Linked DNA regions of Notamacropus eugenii. The protein of the gene in region 1 interacts with the protein of each later gene in a pairwise test. Links are inferred from orthologs where the notes say so. Each region holds a gene or a part of one and is shown on either strand. Other genes may lie near its edges.

Evidence for each region.
Region 2: the proteins of MAPK9 (region 1) and SHMT1 interact in binary tests that used the Homo sapiens proteins (3 or more experiments, as listed by UniProt). The two-hybrid records come from large-scale screens. The link is inferred for Notamacropus eugenii from reciprocal best matches to the Homo sapiens genes MAPK9 and SHMT1.

The regions. Positions count from the first base shown.
Region 1 is NC_092872.1:415,961,267-415,965,014, forward strand, and holds the start of MAPK9 (mitogen-activated protein kinase 9), read left to right. Parts: upstream 1-886; 5' UTR 887-1,058; intron 1,059-3,748. UniProt on the Homo sapiens protein: Serine/threonine-protein kinase involved in various processes such as cell proliferation, differentiation, migration, transformation and programmed cell death.
Region 2 is NC_092874.1:335,899,066-335,902,813, forward strand, and holds the start of SHMT1 (serine hydroxymethyltransferase, cytosolic), read right to left. Parts: upstream 3,002-3,748; 5' UTR 2,878-3,001; intron 1-2,877. UniProt on the Homo sapiens protein: Interconversion of serine and glycine.

The sequences.
Region 1 (3,748 bases):
GGACTCAGAAGGGTGGGGGTGAGCAAGGTGGGAAGGAGGGAATTAGGATTTGAAACTAAAATAAAATTTAATTAGATTTTTCTTAAAGAAGCCTAGGAAATGATTTTAATGTGGAAGGCTTGGGTGACTGGGAGAAAAGAGAGACCATCAGTTGTTGTGTTCGTCCTTCGTTTTTTGAAGAGGACCATGACATCAATAGGGAAACACAGGTGGCATGGGGGTAGGAGGGAAGATAATATGATGACTTCTGTTTTGGACATGTTGACTTTGAGGTGCTTGAAGGGCATATGATTTATATCCGGTTGGCAGCTGGTGGTACCAGACTAGAGCTGAATACACAGGTGAGTACGTGCACTGTATAAATTATGTATACGTATATTGTATATAATACATGCGTATTCGGTTCGAATCTTTCCTGAACTCCACCAGCTGCCCATAGGCTATCATCTCTGCGCAGAGATCATTGCTGAATCTATGGAAGCTGATGAGTTCACCAAGAAAACAGGTAGGGAAAGAAAAGCAGAGAGAAAACAGTCTTGTCCACAGCAGGCGAATCATCGATGCGGGTCGAATGAATGAGCTAACCGGCAGGTAAGCCCACTGGGTTCAGGTGTCTACCTGTTCCCACACCGGCTAGGTGACGTGGGCCTGGCTTGCCCTCTCTGTCCATCAAAGGTGACGGGATCAATGTTCCCTTCTGAGGAGGGTTTAGAACACCTGCCAGCAGAGGTCCACGGCCCCCCCTCCAGTCCAGCCCAGGCCAGCCACACCTCCGGCCAGAGGCGGCCCTCCCGGCAGCCCCGGCTCCAGGGCCCCGCCCTCTCTCAGGATTGGCTGCGCCGGGCCTCGCTTTGCGCTCAGCGATTGGCCGCGGTGCCCGTCGGTCCGCCGAGCTGGGCCCCCGGCTGCTGAAGACGGAGCCATGAGCGGAAGGGCCTGAGCTCGGCTCCCAGCTTCGGCTTCGCACCCACTGCGGCGGCGGCGGCGGCGGCCCGGGAGCTGGGGCTGAGCCCTGAGCGCCGCCCGCCCGCCGGCCCAGACAGCCGCGGGGAGGGCAGGTGAGGCGGCAGGGAGGCGGGGAGTGGTCGGGCCGGGGCGCGAGCCCCGGACGGGGAGCCGGGGGCCGGGACCCGGGACCCAAGGCGGGTGGGGAGTGAGGCGCCGGGTCCTCCTGGGAGGAAGGGGAGGGGGCGGAGGGAGGGCGCGAGCCTTCGGCTGGGCCCGGGGGGCTGCGGCAGCCGGGGCAGGGCCGGGCGGGCTGCGGGCCCCGGGAGGCCGGCTGCTCCTGGCACCGCGCCCCGCTCCTCCTCCCTGCCCGGAGAGTGCCGCATTCTGTCTGTCGGAGGCGCCGGAGGGACCCGCGCCCGTGCCAGCGCCGGAGCCGGGCCAAGGCTGGGTCCGGGGCGCAGCATCGCGAGGCGGGACCCCAGCGCCGCCTCTCCCGCCCCGCCTGCCTGCGTGACCTTGGGCCGGCCCCTGCCGCCTCCTCTTTGGCACTCGGTAAAACGAGGGGTTTGGCCTCAACGATCCCAAGACCCCGCTAGCCCCAGATCTTCGCATCCCATCCCCCTTGGGGCTGCGGGACACCCAGGTACGCCTGTGTGCAGCCCTGGTGCCTCCCTTCCCAGCTGTCATTCTTGGGCTTCCTCTTTCCCCCTCCCCCCATCTAGAGCCTCCCTGGGGACCACTGCCTCCCACTCCACAGTCCTGTGCTTGATCTTGAAGTGCTCGTGCTTTTCATCCCTCCCTCACACTCATTCGGTGAAAAGGTAAAATGAGGAAAACATACCTGTCACCTAGACTGAAGCCTCCTCTCTTCCCCCGATTCTTCAGTTATCATTGAAGAATTGCATAGCATAGCAGACTCAGCCGTAAGTGACCCTATTTCACATTAGTCCTAGTGTGTAAAGTGTTTGACTTCCAACAACCCTGGGAAGTAGGTAGAGCTCGAGTTATTCCCATTTTACAGAGTAGGGAACTGTGACTCAGAGGTCTTAAATGATATGCCTGAAGTCACACAGTTTAGCAAGACGCAGAATGGAAATCAAACCCTGGTCAGACCCTCTTGGCATATCTCCTAGGAGCCTTACCATCCACCAGTTTCTCAGACTCTCTGTGCTGAACAGTATTTGTAGAGAACTGGAATGAGGGACTGAGGCCTTAGGCAAAGTTGTATTATTGCTCCTGTGGACCCCTCATCAGCATTAGTACATTTTAAGCATCTTGAATTAGATATTTTCCCAGTTTCTTCCTAGGGAACCTGGTAGGCTAAGTGAGTGAGTGAGGCAGAAATGTCTTCCAGGAAGAACCTTGTCTGCTCATCTCAAGCAGAAATTTAGGGTTGTTTAACAGCAGAAATGATTTGGCTCTTAATTGAAATATCTTATTTCAGACTAACTTTTATGTGGATTTAAGTAAATGACCTCTTAAAATTTTTCCCCCCTGTTCTGCCTGATTTGTTGCTACTTTTTAGATCCTGATACATTTCCTTTTGTTGGTAAATTTCCAGAACCAATAGTGAGATGAATGTTAACACTGACAATCTTTTAGCCAGTAATTTGCTACAATTCAAGAAAACATTTAACCCTGATTCAGTTAAGGTTCTTTATTTTTACAATGTAATTTTTTTTCCTTTCAGAGGTCTTCCTTATAAGTTAAAAATCCCATTTTAGTGGTCTTCCCTGGGGAAATTTTGATTTTCTTGAACATGTCATTTTATTCTCAAACTGTTACCAATTTAAATAAACAAGATCAAATTATCAGACCATTTAAATATTAGGTAAATTCATATTTGTCTCAATAGTAATTCAAGTCACATTTATTCCATTTCATAGCATTTGAAATTCATTGACCCAGATGTCACATACAGAACATTTATCAGTCTCTATCAAAGTTTCCAGAGCTAAGCACAATTCAGGCTTTAATTTCAACTTCTTTTTTCTTTATAATATTTACTGGTCTAACAGTGGTGAGGCCTATTTTCCCAAGCATATGAGAAATAGGATATCTTTTTTTTACATACTTGCCTTAGTAACTGAATTGTAACAATGAATAGATACATGTTCTTATATGCTATTAACTGTACTAAGAATCTAAATAATTGTCTAAAATCTTGTGAAATTTTGCCAAGTTAGAGTAGGGAAGGGGAAGGAATTCATGCAGATTTTCTATTGGCATTTGAGTTTGAAAAGTCACATCCCCTTGAGAATAATTCACCTATTTCCTTAACACTTGAAGAAATTAAATATTGAATATTAAAGTAGCATTTGATGTACATTTAACCTTATTTTAAATATTCCCTTATTAATCCAGGTACTTCCTCATATTATTTTTATAATTTCTTATATCAACATATTTTGTTAGGATGACTTCCTTAAAACTCTATCTGCCCCCATAGTTCCCTATAAAAAGTTAAGCAATGCTACCTAATATAGTGGTTTCAATTGACAATACATGTCATTTTCTATTTTTGTGGTTTATTGTTTAACAAAAATTAAGAATACATGCTTTAATTTTAATAATTTGAAATCAACATTGTCTATTGTATTTAGCTTTAGTTTTGCTGCCTTTTCGTGTTACCTTTAATACACAATGACTTTGGATCATAAATTTAGACCTGGAAGATACTTTGAGTCCATCAAGTCCTGTTCTTTCATTTTACAGATGAGGGATCTTGTAAATTTGGCAGGGATTTGGCTTTCTTGACTAAAGGTATTTCCACATTGCACTGAATTTTTCATATGTTTTG
Region 2 (3,748 bases), on another chromosome or scaffold:
CCTCTTATGGTGGCTGAAAACACTCCAATCCTAGAACATAAAAACTTATATTTGAACATTAACTACTCAAGGTCAAAAAACATGAAAAGTGCAAAAGCAGCATTTCCCAGTCACCAAATAATTAAAGTCCAATGAGAAATGCCCTCTGCTAAGTGGCAGACCTGTCTTTAAAGGGCTTGTGTTCCAACAGCCTATTTCCTAACTCACTTTCACAAAGCTATTTATTTCTCTGTTGGACAATAAGTCCTTTGATTCATGACAAAAAATATTTCATCAGTGTCACTAGATGAGAATATGTTCAAAGAAAAGTTAAGAAGGATCTAAGAGAGAACAGAAATCTAAGCGAGGCAAGAGTGGGTACTGAGAGCACTGAATGGGCATGGAGAGTACAAAAGAGGCTATTTCTTGAGTCAGGAAAACCTGAGTTTAAGACCTGACTGATACATACTGGCCAAGTCATTTATCCTAGGCAAACTCTTTTAAGACTCAAAACTTTGAAGCAGTTGTCAATGTGTAAGGATGGAGGAAGTGCTATCAACCTAACTTAGCAATATCAACTTTTGTTGCACCAAATCTAATCAAACCTAGTAACTTTCAAGTTGATACCATGACATGTTTTTGTCCTTCCTTCTCAGAAAAGACCAAGACATCAGAAAGGTGATGTTATGACTTGCAAGTGAATTGGATTTAAGTGAGGGAGGATAGTGCAAAGTTTCTGGGTTTCTGGCCAAAACAGGAACAATTGCTATTTACCCTAGCTCTGGGCCATCAGGACCCAAACAATGACCAAGTGAGGCTTGGGTTGGGACCTACTGTTGGTCAATCAAAGAAAGTCAGAGTGATGTAGGTTTAAGGCATGGTCTTTAAGAAAGAAATATAGCCTGTAAACCCCAAGATATCTTTTGACGTTTCAGTGACCAAATTTACATTTCTTTGGGCAGAGCACACAAAGGTAAGGGTATGATATCCTATGTGGACAGAGGGAGAGGAGGGAAGGAGAAAAGGAGGGAGGAGGGTAAGGAAAGAGGGGAAAAAAGGAAGGAGGGAAGGAAGGATTTCACTCACTACATCACTACTCACAGTCCTGCCCCAATCCCTCTAACTACTGAATAATTCATTCACACCCTCTTCATTCAAGGAAAACACAAGGGCTAGGCTTATCTACTAGCACAAGACACAAGATTTATAAGCTGGACTCTGGATCTTTGCTATCAGCTTGCTTTTTTGAAACACCAGACTAAGCTTCTTCCCCTAAAATAAAAGTCTAAGCCTCAAGACAGAGTTGCACCTTGATGGTGAATATTTTGTCATTTATACAAGTACTCAGTGAAATACTCTGCCTTGGGTTACTTCTGTTGAGTTCCCTGGGGGTAAAGTTACCGCAGAAATGTTAAAACCCAAAGGTCAGCAATGTTAAACTCAATTTGTATAGAACAGAGGGGAATCAAAACCAGGTGGAAGAAGACAGCATAAGTTTAGGAAAAGGTATCATTCATCCATTCACTCAAGAAAAGCACAGAGATTTGGAGTCCGAGAAGTATCGCCATCAGTCACTTCCTGTGTAACCTTAGTTTATCTATAAAACGAGTGGATTGATTTAAATGACCTGAGATTCCTTCCAGCTCTAAATGCTGCGCTTCTCCAGTAATCTACTACACGAACACAACCAGGCTCTGGGGACAGTAGCAAGCAACTGGAATTTCTTCCTGGTAGGAAAATTCTCCCCCCAATCCATATTGCTGCGAATCTTTAGCGAGAGAAATCTTAGATCTAAGTAGTGAGGCTCAGACAAGGTACAAGGCTACTAAGCGCCAGAGACAAGATCTGGAAAGCTTTCTTTCAATCCAGTCCAGTACTCCCCACGTTCAGACAAGCAGCCTGTCCCCGGAGGACAGAAGATCAGAACTCCGGAAGACACATGCACACACTTTCCCCTCAGCTTGAAAAGAAAAAGTACGAAATCCATCCCTCCGAAATCTTCCACCTACTTTCGGATAGGCAACACACGCAAAGAAACCAGGTCAGGTGAAAGACCCCAATTCATCACCACCCTTTTAAGGTGATCTTCCTGGGCATGTGTAATCTTTGGCCTAATATACTTGACCTTGGCTTTGGGGGGAAAGAGCGGAAATCGGCTCATTCACCAGAAGCCAATCTGGTTCTCTGCTAGTAAGACATGCAGCCGGGCGCCCGAACTTGTGTTTCCAGTCCCACCTGGTGCCAGATGTGCAAAGAAGCCCCAGGTCCTTTCTCTCCTCACCTCTCCATAGCTTCTAAATCATCGAAGGTCCCCCAGAGGGCCACCTTTTTTATTGGGGGGGGAGATTTTTTTGTATCTAATCTGTATATCTTTGGTGAACAAATGCACGAAATGAAATATACAAGATTACAACCGAAACCAGCTCTGGCGAGATACAGTATCTAAACAGGAAAACAATAAATCCACCAAGTTCAGCCGCCACGTGAGGAACCGCAGCCCCGGAGTCACACCCGGGCTGCAAGGAGAGCTCCCCAGCATCCCGGGGAGGCTGGGGTCCAGGGCTTTGAACTCGCCCAAGGTCGGGGGGCGCGGGCGCAGCAGGTCCGGCCACGCTGATCTGGGGGAGGGGGGACCCTTCCGCTTTGCAGGACACAGAGAGGGCGGGAAATCTCCGTGGGGGGGGTGTCTGAGACCCTCTCCCACGGGCTACCCGTTAGTTGCTAGTCTCCACGGCAACACCCCCCCACACTTAGAACCCCGGGACCCTCGGAGACCCCCCAAAGACAAGAGCGCGCGTAAGCCACGTGACGCGGCGCCCCAGCGCAGCCTTGAGCGGGGCGAGGAAGCCGCGGCGGGCACAGCCCGGAGAGCCCCGACGCCGGCCCCAGTCCCCTTACCTCGGCGGGCACTAACCGGTGAGTTGCAGCAGAAGCCCCGAGCGCGACCGCCTTCAGCCCGCGGTCAGAGATGTCCCTCCGCTGAGCCCCGCCCCCTTTCCAGCCCCGCCAGATACTATAAGCGGGAATGGCTGGGGAGAGGGGAGGAGGGGGGCGGAGCCTACTCTGTCCGAGAGTGGGCACGAGGAAGCAAGCTTTGCTCCGCCCCTTCCCGCTCTGCCGGACGCTATAGGCGGGAATGGAGGTGGTGGGCGGAGCCACTCAGCCCGGGAGAGGGTACGAGCTCCGCTGCTCTGCTCCCGCCCCCAGCCCCGCCTCTTCTCGGCTCCGTTCGACGCTCGGGGCAGGAATGGCAGGGGTGGGCGGACCCCTCGGGTCCTAGGAGAGGGTACCAGGGTGCAGATTTGCAGAGAAAGGGAGGTGACCGGGCCCTAATCTGGCGCCTCTCCGTCTGGCCAGGCTAATAGGGGAGAAACAGATGCTGCTGTCAGGTGCTCCTAGACTGGAGCCCTCCCCATTTCAAGCAAGATTTTTAAAAAATTAGTTCTCATGGCATTTTCATGCCCCGGTGGGCCAAGTTCAACCAACTTGCCAACTCTAAAACTGAATTAACCTATTATTTCTCAACTGAGCACTCTCAGTTCTCACAGCTACCACCCGAATCCAAGTCCTCATTTCTTATCTGGATTTAGGCACAGCGTCAGCAAGCAGTTATTAAGCATATGTGTGTTTGTATATATAGATAGATGTGTGTGTAGATGTGTGTATATGTATATACATACATACATATGTAATTGCATATATGCGTGTGCAAATAAAGACACACATACATATAGTTCAAAACTACCATCCCCTTACCTGCAGATACTTT